Linked DNA regions of Drosophila melanogaster. The protein of the gene in region 2 interacts with the protein of the main gene of each other region in a pairwise test. Each region holds a gene or a part of one and is shown on either strand. Other genes may lie near its edges.

The links. Proteins that work in one complex are often made in the same cells at the same time.
Region 1: the proteins of Prosbeta7 (region 2) and Prosalpha2 interact in binary tests that used the Drosophila melanogaster proteins (3 or more experiments, as listed by UniProt).

The regions. Positions count from the first base shown.
Region 1 is NT_033777.3:12,428,914-12,433,313, reverse strand, and holds Prosalpha2 (proteasome alpha2 subunit), read right to left. Parts: upstream 1,994-4,400; 5' UTR 1,874-1,993; coding exon 1,833-1,873; intron 1,731-1,832; coding exon 1,654-1,730; intron 1,569-1,653; coding exon 1,313-1,568; intron 1,248-1,312; coding exon 1,092-1,247; intron 1,028-1,091; coding exon 853-1,027; 3' UTR 758-852; downstream 1-757. Other genes in the region: Aos1 (activator of SUMO 1), read left to right, coding at 1-185, 242-719; CG5245 (uncharacterized protein), read right to left, coding at 2,139-3,644; CG5641 (uncharacterized protein), read left to right, coding at 4,113-4,277, 4,340-4,400. UniProt on the Drosophila melanogaster protein: The proteasome is a multicatalytic proteinase complex which is characterized by its ability to cleave peptides with Arg, Phe, Tyr, Leu, and Glu adjacent to the leaving group at neutral or slightly basic pH.
Region 2 is NT_033777.3:5,355,979-5,360,215, reverse strand, and holds Prosbeta7 (proteasome beta7 subunit), read left to right. Parts: upstream 1-1,851; 5' UTR 1,852-2,140; coding exon 2,141-2,292; intron 2,293-2,359; coding exon 2,360-2,861; intron 2,862-2,932; coding exon 2,933-3,085; 3' UTR 3,086-3,204; downstream 3,205-4,237. Other genes in the region: Cerk (ceramide kinase), read left to right, coding at 1-237, 666-868, 929-1,058; CG1161 (uncharacterized protein), read right to left, coding at 3,636-3,791, 4,088-4,213. UniProt on the Drosophila melanogaster protein: Non-catalytic component of the proteasome, a multicatalytic proteinase complex which is characterized by its ability to cleave peptides with Arg, Phe, Tyr, Leu, and Glu adjacent to the leaving group at neutral or slightly basic pH.

The sequences.
Region 1 (4,400 bases), 7.1 Mb from region 2:
TTGAAGGAGAAGACCTCTGAGTTCTTCGGTCAGTTCGACGTTGTGGTGGTCAATGGCGCGACCAACGAGGAACTGTTGCGCATTGACACCATTTGCCGGGACCTGGGCGTCAAGTTCATAGCCACCGATGTGTGGGGCACCTTCGGGTTCTACTTTGCCAGTCTGCAGAAGCACAGCTACGTCGAGTAGGTTCCCTACCTACCATTGCCCATTGCTAACTTAATGTCCACCTTTTTTCCAGGGATGTTATTAAGCACAAGGTCGTAGCCAATTCGGAGAAGAAAAAGAAGTATGAAACCGTGTCCATTCCAACGCAGCGTGATGTGGATTATCCCGGCTACTCTGCCTGGCTTGATTTCGATGTTACCGAGCCTAGTTATTTGCGAAAATTGAAGCGCAATGGCCCGGGTGTTTTGCTATTAAGTGTCCTGCAAAAGTTCCGCACAACCCACAAGCGGGATCCCAGCTACAAGACCCGAGAAGCTGACCTGGAATTGCTTCGCGGAATTCGCGACGAACTGCTGCCCAACTCTATACTGGGCGACGAAGCTCTAGGTCTGATTTTTGCACAGATCTCGCCAGCGGTCGCTGTTGTCGGCGGCGTTGTGGCACAAGAGGTCATCAAGGTGGTTACTAAATTGGAGGCGCCACACCGTAATCTGTTCGTTTTTGACCCAGAGACTTGTGCCGGATACGTTGAGGCCATCGGAGCGAAGTGAATTTACCACAAAGGGCTTATTTATAAAAATCTGAATATCAAATAACACCAGTTGTAAAATTTTATTGGTTTTTTAATGTCCCGTACTTATTAAGAAAGCTTAGCTTGTGGTAATCTTAGCGGGGCGTTTAAGTTTAGGGGATGCTGGCCAAGTAGTCCTTGATTGAGGCGGGGTCCAGACGCTGGAATCCGTTCTGATCGCAGATTCCGATCTCAATGTTGTCGGCAGTCATTTTTCCCTCAAAACCTTCTTTCAGCGTAAGGATGGCGGTGTGAACAGCGTCGTCCAGCTCCAGATCTTCGCTGTAGCTGCAGGTTGATGAAAATATGAGTGACTTGCGACTTTAATTGGTGTACTATTATTGGTACTTACCGCTTCTCCAGGAAAGTTTTGCCGTTCACTGCGTTCTTGCCCATGGCAGTGGCCTTCCAGGCGAAGTAGGCGCCCGAAGGATCGGATTGGTAGAGATACGGACGATCATTGTCCCAGCCGCAGATCAGTAGGGAAACGCCAAAGGGACGAACGCCACTGTTGGTGGGATTGCATACGATTATCTATGGGAACCCAAAGTCGAGAAAAGCGCGCACACTTACCCGGACTGAGTGTACTCCTGCATGAGCGTGGCCACGCGCTGCACCAGCTGTGACACTGGAATCGGCTCCTTGTAGGTCAGGTAGTACGTCTGGGCGATCTTGCGGGCCTGCTTGACCAGCAGGCGGTAGTCCGGACCCATTCCCGAGTACACCATGCCGATGTGGTTGTAGATCATCTCCACGCGATGTACACTGTGCTGCTCATACAGCGGTGACTTGTGTTTGTTCTCTGTGGCAATGACGACGCCGTTGGAAGCTACAGCCAAGAAAAATAAATAATAGTGTGTTAGTTGAATGCACAGTACTGGCTGACAGGCTGACTGGCTGTGCGGCATGCTAACCTATAATGCCCACGGAGGGAGCTCCGCCAGATACGGCCGCCAATGCATACTCCAGTTGGACGAGTTTTCCGGAAGGACTGCAAACGGTAGAAAATTGTACTTATTGCCCAGTCATGGCGGCAGTTTGTGTTGCGCGGGGCGAAGCGAATGCTCCGCTCCGGCTATAGCGATGCTCTCACCTGAACGTGGTCAACGAAAAGCTGTATCGTTCGGTAGCCATATTTCCTGGGCCGCAAATGCAGTGATTTGATGTGTAAAATGAAAAAGCCGACTTATTTCGCACAGAAACAAAAATGACACAGCAATTGGGCGGCAGTGTGACCGAATGCTGAATGCCAAATATGGTACAGGTCGATCAGGGGGACTAAACAAATGGGCACACTACCGATTTCTAAACTTAAAAAAATATTTAAACTCATTTATTTATTTTCGCCTACTTTACTTCTTATTACATTATTTCTAAGTTAATTCTAAACTAATTGGTTTTAATCCGATTTAGTGCCGCATAGGGTTCGCCGCAGGTGTCGCCCAAGACTGGACTTTTGTGTGTATCGGGTTGAGCAGTGTGAACACTTGTAGGGTTTTTCCCCCGTATGCGTTCGCAAGTGTTCCTGGTGTTCTGCGCTTCTCGCAAACAATTTTGAGCAGTGCGAACACTTGAAGGGCAATTCTCCCGTGTGCGTTCGCAAATGCATGTGAAGAGTCGAGCTAGTTGTATAGGACTTCGAGCAGTGGGGACACTCGAATTGGTTTTTTCCAGTATGCTCTTGCAGGTGCACCAGCAGTTGCGAGCTTAGTTTAAACTCCTTCGAGCAGTAGGAACACTTGGGTACCTTTTCTCCAATATGATCAAGCATATGCACCCGAAGATGCGTACGACATTTGAAGTCCTTGAAACAGTGGGTACACTTAAAGGGCCGCTCTCCCGTATGCACTTGCTGATGCTCCACAAGATGTGACTTCTTGAAGAAAGATTTCGAGCATTCGGCGCACTTGTACTGTCGCTCTCTTGTATGCAAACGCACGTGGACTCGATAAAGTGACCTCATGGCAAAGGTGGCTGAGCACTGGGAACACTTCAGGGGCTCTTTTCCAGCGTGCTCAAGTAAGTGTAGTTGAAGTCTCGAATTCCTTGCAAAGGTCTCTGAGCAATGGGGACACTTGAACGGGTCTTCGCCCGCGTGCACTCGCAAATGAATTTGCAAACTATCATTCTGCAGAAAAGTCTTCGGGCACTGGGTACACTTAAAGGATCGTTCGGCGTGCGTCAGCAAGTGCTTTTGTAGAATTGATCTTAGCTTAAAACTCTTTGAGCAGTGGGAACACTTAAAGGGCCGTGCCTCCTGATGCGTTCGCAAGTGTTCCTGGAGATGTGAATTGTTTTTAAATGCCTTTTCGCAATGGGTACACTCAAAGGGTCGTTCTTCACTATGCGTACGTAAGTGTACCTGAAGATGAGATTTTCGCGCGAACGACGTCGAGCACTGGGTACACTTAAAGGGGCGCTCTCCTGTGTGCTCATGCAGATGTTGTTTAAGCGATGAATTCTGGGTAAAGGTTTTTGAGCAGTGGGAACACTTATGAGGTCGCTTTTCGTGTTTGAGCAAGTGTCGCTTGTAATGCGTCCTGCGTCCAAAGCTCTTGGAGCAGTGGGAACACTCGAACGGACGTTCTTCTGCGTGAAGTCGCAAGTGTGATTCGAGGTTTTCCTTTCTTGTAAACGTCTTTTGGCATTGGGTACACTTAAACGTATCTGTTTGCTTTCGCAAGGGGCGCTTCTTTGCTATTTTGGATTTACACGTCTTCAGCTTCGACGGGACGCCTTTAACTGGCTCCAAATCTTTGCCATAACTACAGAAGTTCTCAATCTTTATTTCGCTTTCAAGCTCTTCGAAGTCGCTGTTAGAAATGAAGATTAATTCTTCTTCGAAAGTGTCTTCTTGAGGTGGTTCGTCCTTCACGGGGCGTTGATCTACGTTCGCCAGATCCATAGTTCTGAAAACTATAAACATTAGGATTCATCTCTAGTGCGATTTTCAACTACTTACGAATAACTTCATGCGCTTTTAATCCGATTTTAGCACCGGAATTTTGTACAACAAAAGGGTAAGACCATCAACATAAAAATCAGCACTTTGCTTGTAAACAAAGCGTTTTCCTGGAACTGATAGAAACCTTGTTGCACTAGCTACAACTACAAAATTATGCAGATTAAAAACACCAGTCTCCGTATTTTAATTCAATCAATTTATGCATTCTAATGTAGTAAAATGTTTAAATGTTCAAAATGTTTGCCCTCTAAAAATATTTTATGCGGTATACTTTGAAAACGCGCTTAGCCCATCTTTGATGTCGTTTCCTTACCGGTCCAGCTTCGGTCACACTGTTTACCTATCTGTTAAAAAAAACAGAACGCTCCGGCGTTGCGAAAATTATTAAAAATTCATCCCCACAGGAATATGGTTCGCGGAGCTCTCCGAGGTGGCCGCCCCATGCGCGGCGGCATACGTCCGCCGTTCAAAAAGACATTCGTGCCGCGCCACCCCTTCGATCTGACCCTCGCGGAGGTCTTCTTTCCCAAAGTTCCATCCGCCGGCGCCGTTGACGATTCTGCTTTGACTGCGGTAAATCAATAAATTACTTGCGTATCCAAGGTGTCTGCAATGGGAAAACAATTGCATTTCAGGCGCTGCTGAAGCGTAACCAGGACCTGAGTCCCACTCCCAGCGAGCAGACGGCTATTGGCA
Region 2 (4,237 bases):
ACTGGCTCCATTTCATCAATGAGGAACCTCGGCAACGATCAGTGGAAGGTTGTGCGGGGCAATTTCTTTATGATCTGCGGCGCGAACATAACCTGCGCCTGCGCCAGGAGTCCCAATGGCATCTCCCGTTACAGTCATCTGGGTGATGGTTGCCTGGACCTGATTCTCGTGAAAAAGACCTCACTGCTCAACAACGTGCGTTTTCTGCTCAACACGGCGGGCAGAAGTGGTGATATTGTGAGTACTAACTATTACAACTATTCAACTTTCACATCCAAAAGAACACCTTTCCTATAAGAGGCGTCCATTTCCTTTGAAATAACATTTCCATAACATTTTAACTGCATCTTTAATTGCCAAATCCCCTAAGCCTACAAGCTGAGCTTAGTGCTTTCTATCCTAAAAGCCAAAAACCCAAAACCGAACCCCATCTAGCTCGGATTGAAGCGAGGGAAATCTGTGACAGAAAGGTTATTTTACGAAGATCTACTAGCCGCTCTGGTGGCATCCATATAAAGTATATACTTGACCAGTTTCAACAATATAATGTTTTATCTAGTGAATGCGATGGTATCTTTTACTGTAAAAATATAAATGAAAAATAAAAGGATACAATTAAATTTTGTAGAAAACAATAAATATTTAAAAACATTTTCCCATTGCAGCGCAATTTGCCTTTTGTAGAGGTATATCGCACAAGGGAATTCCGGTTCAGAACTTTTTCTGCCAGCGAGGAGGACTACAGCTTGGCAGGGTCTTGTCAGCCGATTACACCGCCTGAAGAAATGACCGCCCACTCCTCCTCGACGGAGTTTTCCAGCTGGAACTGTGATGGAGAGGTGGTGACCGACCTGGACATAACCATGCGGTGAGTTGGTTGTACCTTTAACTTCAATAAATCGCTTATTAACCGTTCCGTATCTGGCAGATCGCATTGTCAGCTCATCGAGGTCTTCATGCGGGGTCCCCATTCCTACAGCAAGCCCCTCAAGGGCGGCACCACGCCCACAACCCCAGCTAGCTCTAGCGACAATGTTTACTGCTGCTGCAAGGACTAGAAGCTTTAACCCCATAGAATTAGCATCAATCGTTGGCCGTGACATGTAGCTCTTAGTTTTGCGTAGGGTATCCTTATTCGTATATGTATCGTGTTAAAGAGCGGGTCTCCCCGTCATTGTTTTTAGCATAGCTCAATAAAGCAACTGATATTATCGACTGTATTATGGCATCTGAAAGATGCGGCAGCAACCTAAACATTCCCCTCGGAAGCATTATGCACATACCTATATATTTACAAATTGTGTACTGGTATACTGGCAATAAAAATGTATTTATATGTCTTCAAATTTATAATTCTTTATTATTAATTTATATGATCAAATGTTATGATAAAAAACTTCGTTGGGTTCCCAAAAACAACAATCCGGAACATGTGCGTTTTTCCCACCAATATGAATAAAAGCAGAAGTTTTAGCAAAAGAACCTTATTCCGCTTAAAAAGCTATGGAGAATCGTGTTCGAAGGGAGAGAAGGGAGATATTGGATTTGTAGATTGACCAGGATAATTTCCAAACGTCATTTACATTTATTGCTCTCGATTCTTATACTTTAATGACCATTGAACGGCTTAAAATGAAGTAAAGCAAATGGTCATTATATATTAACTAAACATATATTTAGTTTCAAGGAGTAGTAAATACCGTAGAAGCAACGGGTATACATGAGTCTTAATCCTAATTGAGTGAAAAGTTCTTTAATTTCTTATCTTTCTTCTCCTTGATTTGTATTATCAACGAGGATTATAAAGACAAAAGTAAAAAAACAAATTCAGTATAGGCAGCGTGGTGTTAACTGTTTTACATTACTTTTAACATCAACATCTAATAAAATGTTAAAAAGTTCACAATTAAACTTCAAATTAATTTAATTTAACACATGTAAAACGGTGTGACCAAGCTAATAGTGGATTCATCTTTGGTATGTCTGGTATTTTTAGCTACCGGTTGCCGATACTGGTATTGCCGCCCGCCTAAAGTCTGTTCACACTGCGCTGACTCTTGATTTTATTTGTGCCCGTCATTCTCCGGCAGCGACAAACATTTCAAAGTCTCGCGTTATTCCAGTCTCCGAATAAATTAGCATGTTGAACAACTACAACAGCCTAGCGCAGCCCATGTGGCAGAACGGACCCGCTCCCGGCGAGTTCTACAACTTCACGGGCGGACAGACGCCGGTCCAGCAGCTACCGCGGGAGCTGACCACAATGGGACCCTATGGAACCAAGCACAGCACGTAGGAACTGCGGATATGTTTATATGCAGATGTACCACTTGTTTACACTCCTTTTACTATTCCGCAGTGCTTCCAGCACCACGGGCACTTCCGTGCTTGGCATTCGCTATGATTCAGGAGTGATGCTGGCCGCCGACACCCTGGTGTCTTACGGATCCATGGCCCGCTACCAAAACATTGAGCGCGTCTTTAAGGTCAACAAGAACATCCTGCTCGGCGGGAGCGGCGACTTCGCTGACATCCAGTCCATCAAGCGCAACATCGACCAGAAGATGATCGAGGACCAGTGCTGCGACGACAACATCGAGATGAAGCCCAAGTCCTTGGCCAGTTGGATGACCCGTGTGCTCTACAACCGTCGTTCGCGGATGAACCCCCTCTACATTGACGTGGTTGTCGGCGGCGTGGACAACGAGGGGACTCCGTACCTGGCCAACGTGGATCTCCGTGGACGATCCTACGAGGACTACGTGGTGGCCACTGGTTTTGCCCGCCATTTGGCCGTTCCGCTGGTCCGTGAGAAGAAGCCCAAGGACAGGGACTTTACCGCCGTAGAAGCTTCCGAACTGGTAAGGAATTTCGAACTCTGATGGGGGGACTCTTCATTATTTAACTACCCTACCATTTTCTTATATTCTAGATCCGCACATGCATGGAGGTGCTTTACTACCGCGATACTCGTAATATTTCCCAATACACTGTGGGCGTGTGCAGCGTCAACGGATGCGGCGTGGAGGGGCCCTTCCAAGTTAACGAAAACTGGACATTCGCCGAAACCATAAAGGGATACTAGAGCCTCCGATTCTGAATGAACTTAGTTTAGGTCTAGCTCGGCGGTTTTGCATTAAAAAAAAACACTTGTCTAAGGATATGTGGTTACATGATTTATTAAAAATAAATGTGGCTGAAAATAATACGTTTAAAGTTATGGTTATTGTGTGATAGAAACTATCTTCGAGTTATTCTTTCGTTAATCTCTACTGATGGAATCAAAAAGTAGGCGTCAAACTAAGAAGCCCAAGGGAGTTTCCAAATCTAACTTGGACTCACCATTACGGTCTTACGTTCCTTATTTTCCCAAATTATAACCATCAATTATCATTAAAAGTTTTATTTTAGTGGATTTGTTGGTTATTCCTCCCGGCATTCAACTTATTAATTAATATGCAAACACTCCTGACAAACATATTTTGGTTTATTTTAATTAACATAAAATCTGGCTAAATATACAGATAATCAATTTGATCCAAAGGGGAATTTCGCAAAGGATAACTGCTTGGAATACGTGTCTTAAGTCGCCCATGCGCCTCCTAATCTCCGCCAGCTGCAAACCGAACCCCTTGTTAGTTTAGCATGGTATGCCTGTCGTAGATGTGGCGTCTCTGCTCGCGCACCTGCCGCTTCCACTTGTCCTGCTGGTGGCCCACACGATTGAGGACATTGGCTCTGGCACTGAGCTCCTGGTTGTTGACGGCTGGCAGGGGCGGCGTTGGTTCATCCTGGTTAGAAAAGGGTGGAAAAATGTGGAATTAGTCGAGGTGATCCAAGATCTGGCCGTGTTAGTTACTGTCTTAATGAAGTGACGGTGTGGGTTAGAAAGTCAACAAAATCTATAACGCAAAATGAAACAAAGGTGGTTGTGGAAATTAAAATCTATTCAAAAGAGTGGTGCTTCTTTATTGCCAACTAGTTGAGCCGCTTCGGCATCAACATCGTCATCTTCATCATCTTCGCCTTGGGCTGTAACTAGGAGGCTATACTGAATGCCCTTGTATCTAGAAAGCTTGTTATGTACATCTTCGTTGGTGTGCTCCTGGTAGTTCGCCTTCACTCGCTTGTTCAGCAACGGGTCCAGGCACATCAGGAAGAGCATGTATATTACTAAAATGGAGATGATCCAAATCACAATAATGACCACGACCTGGATGGGGGAGAGAGCTGGTTA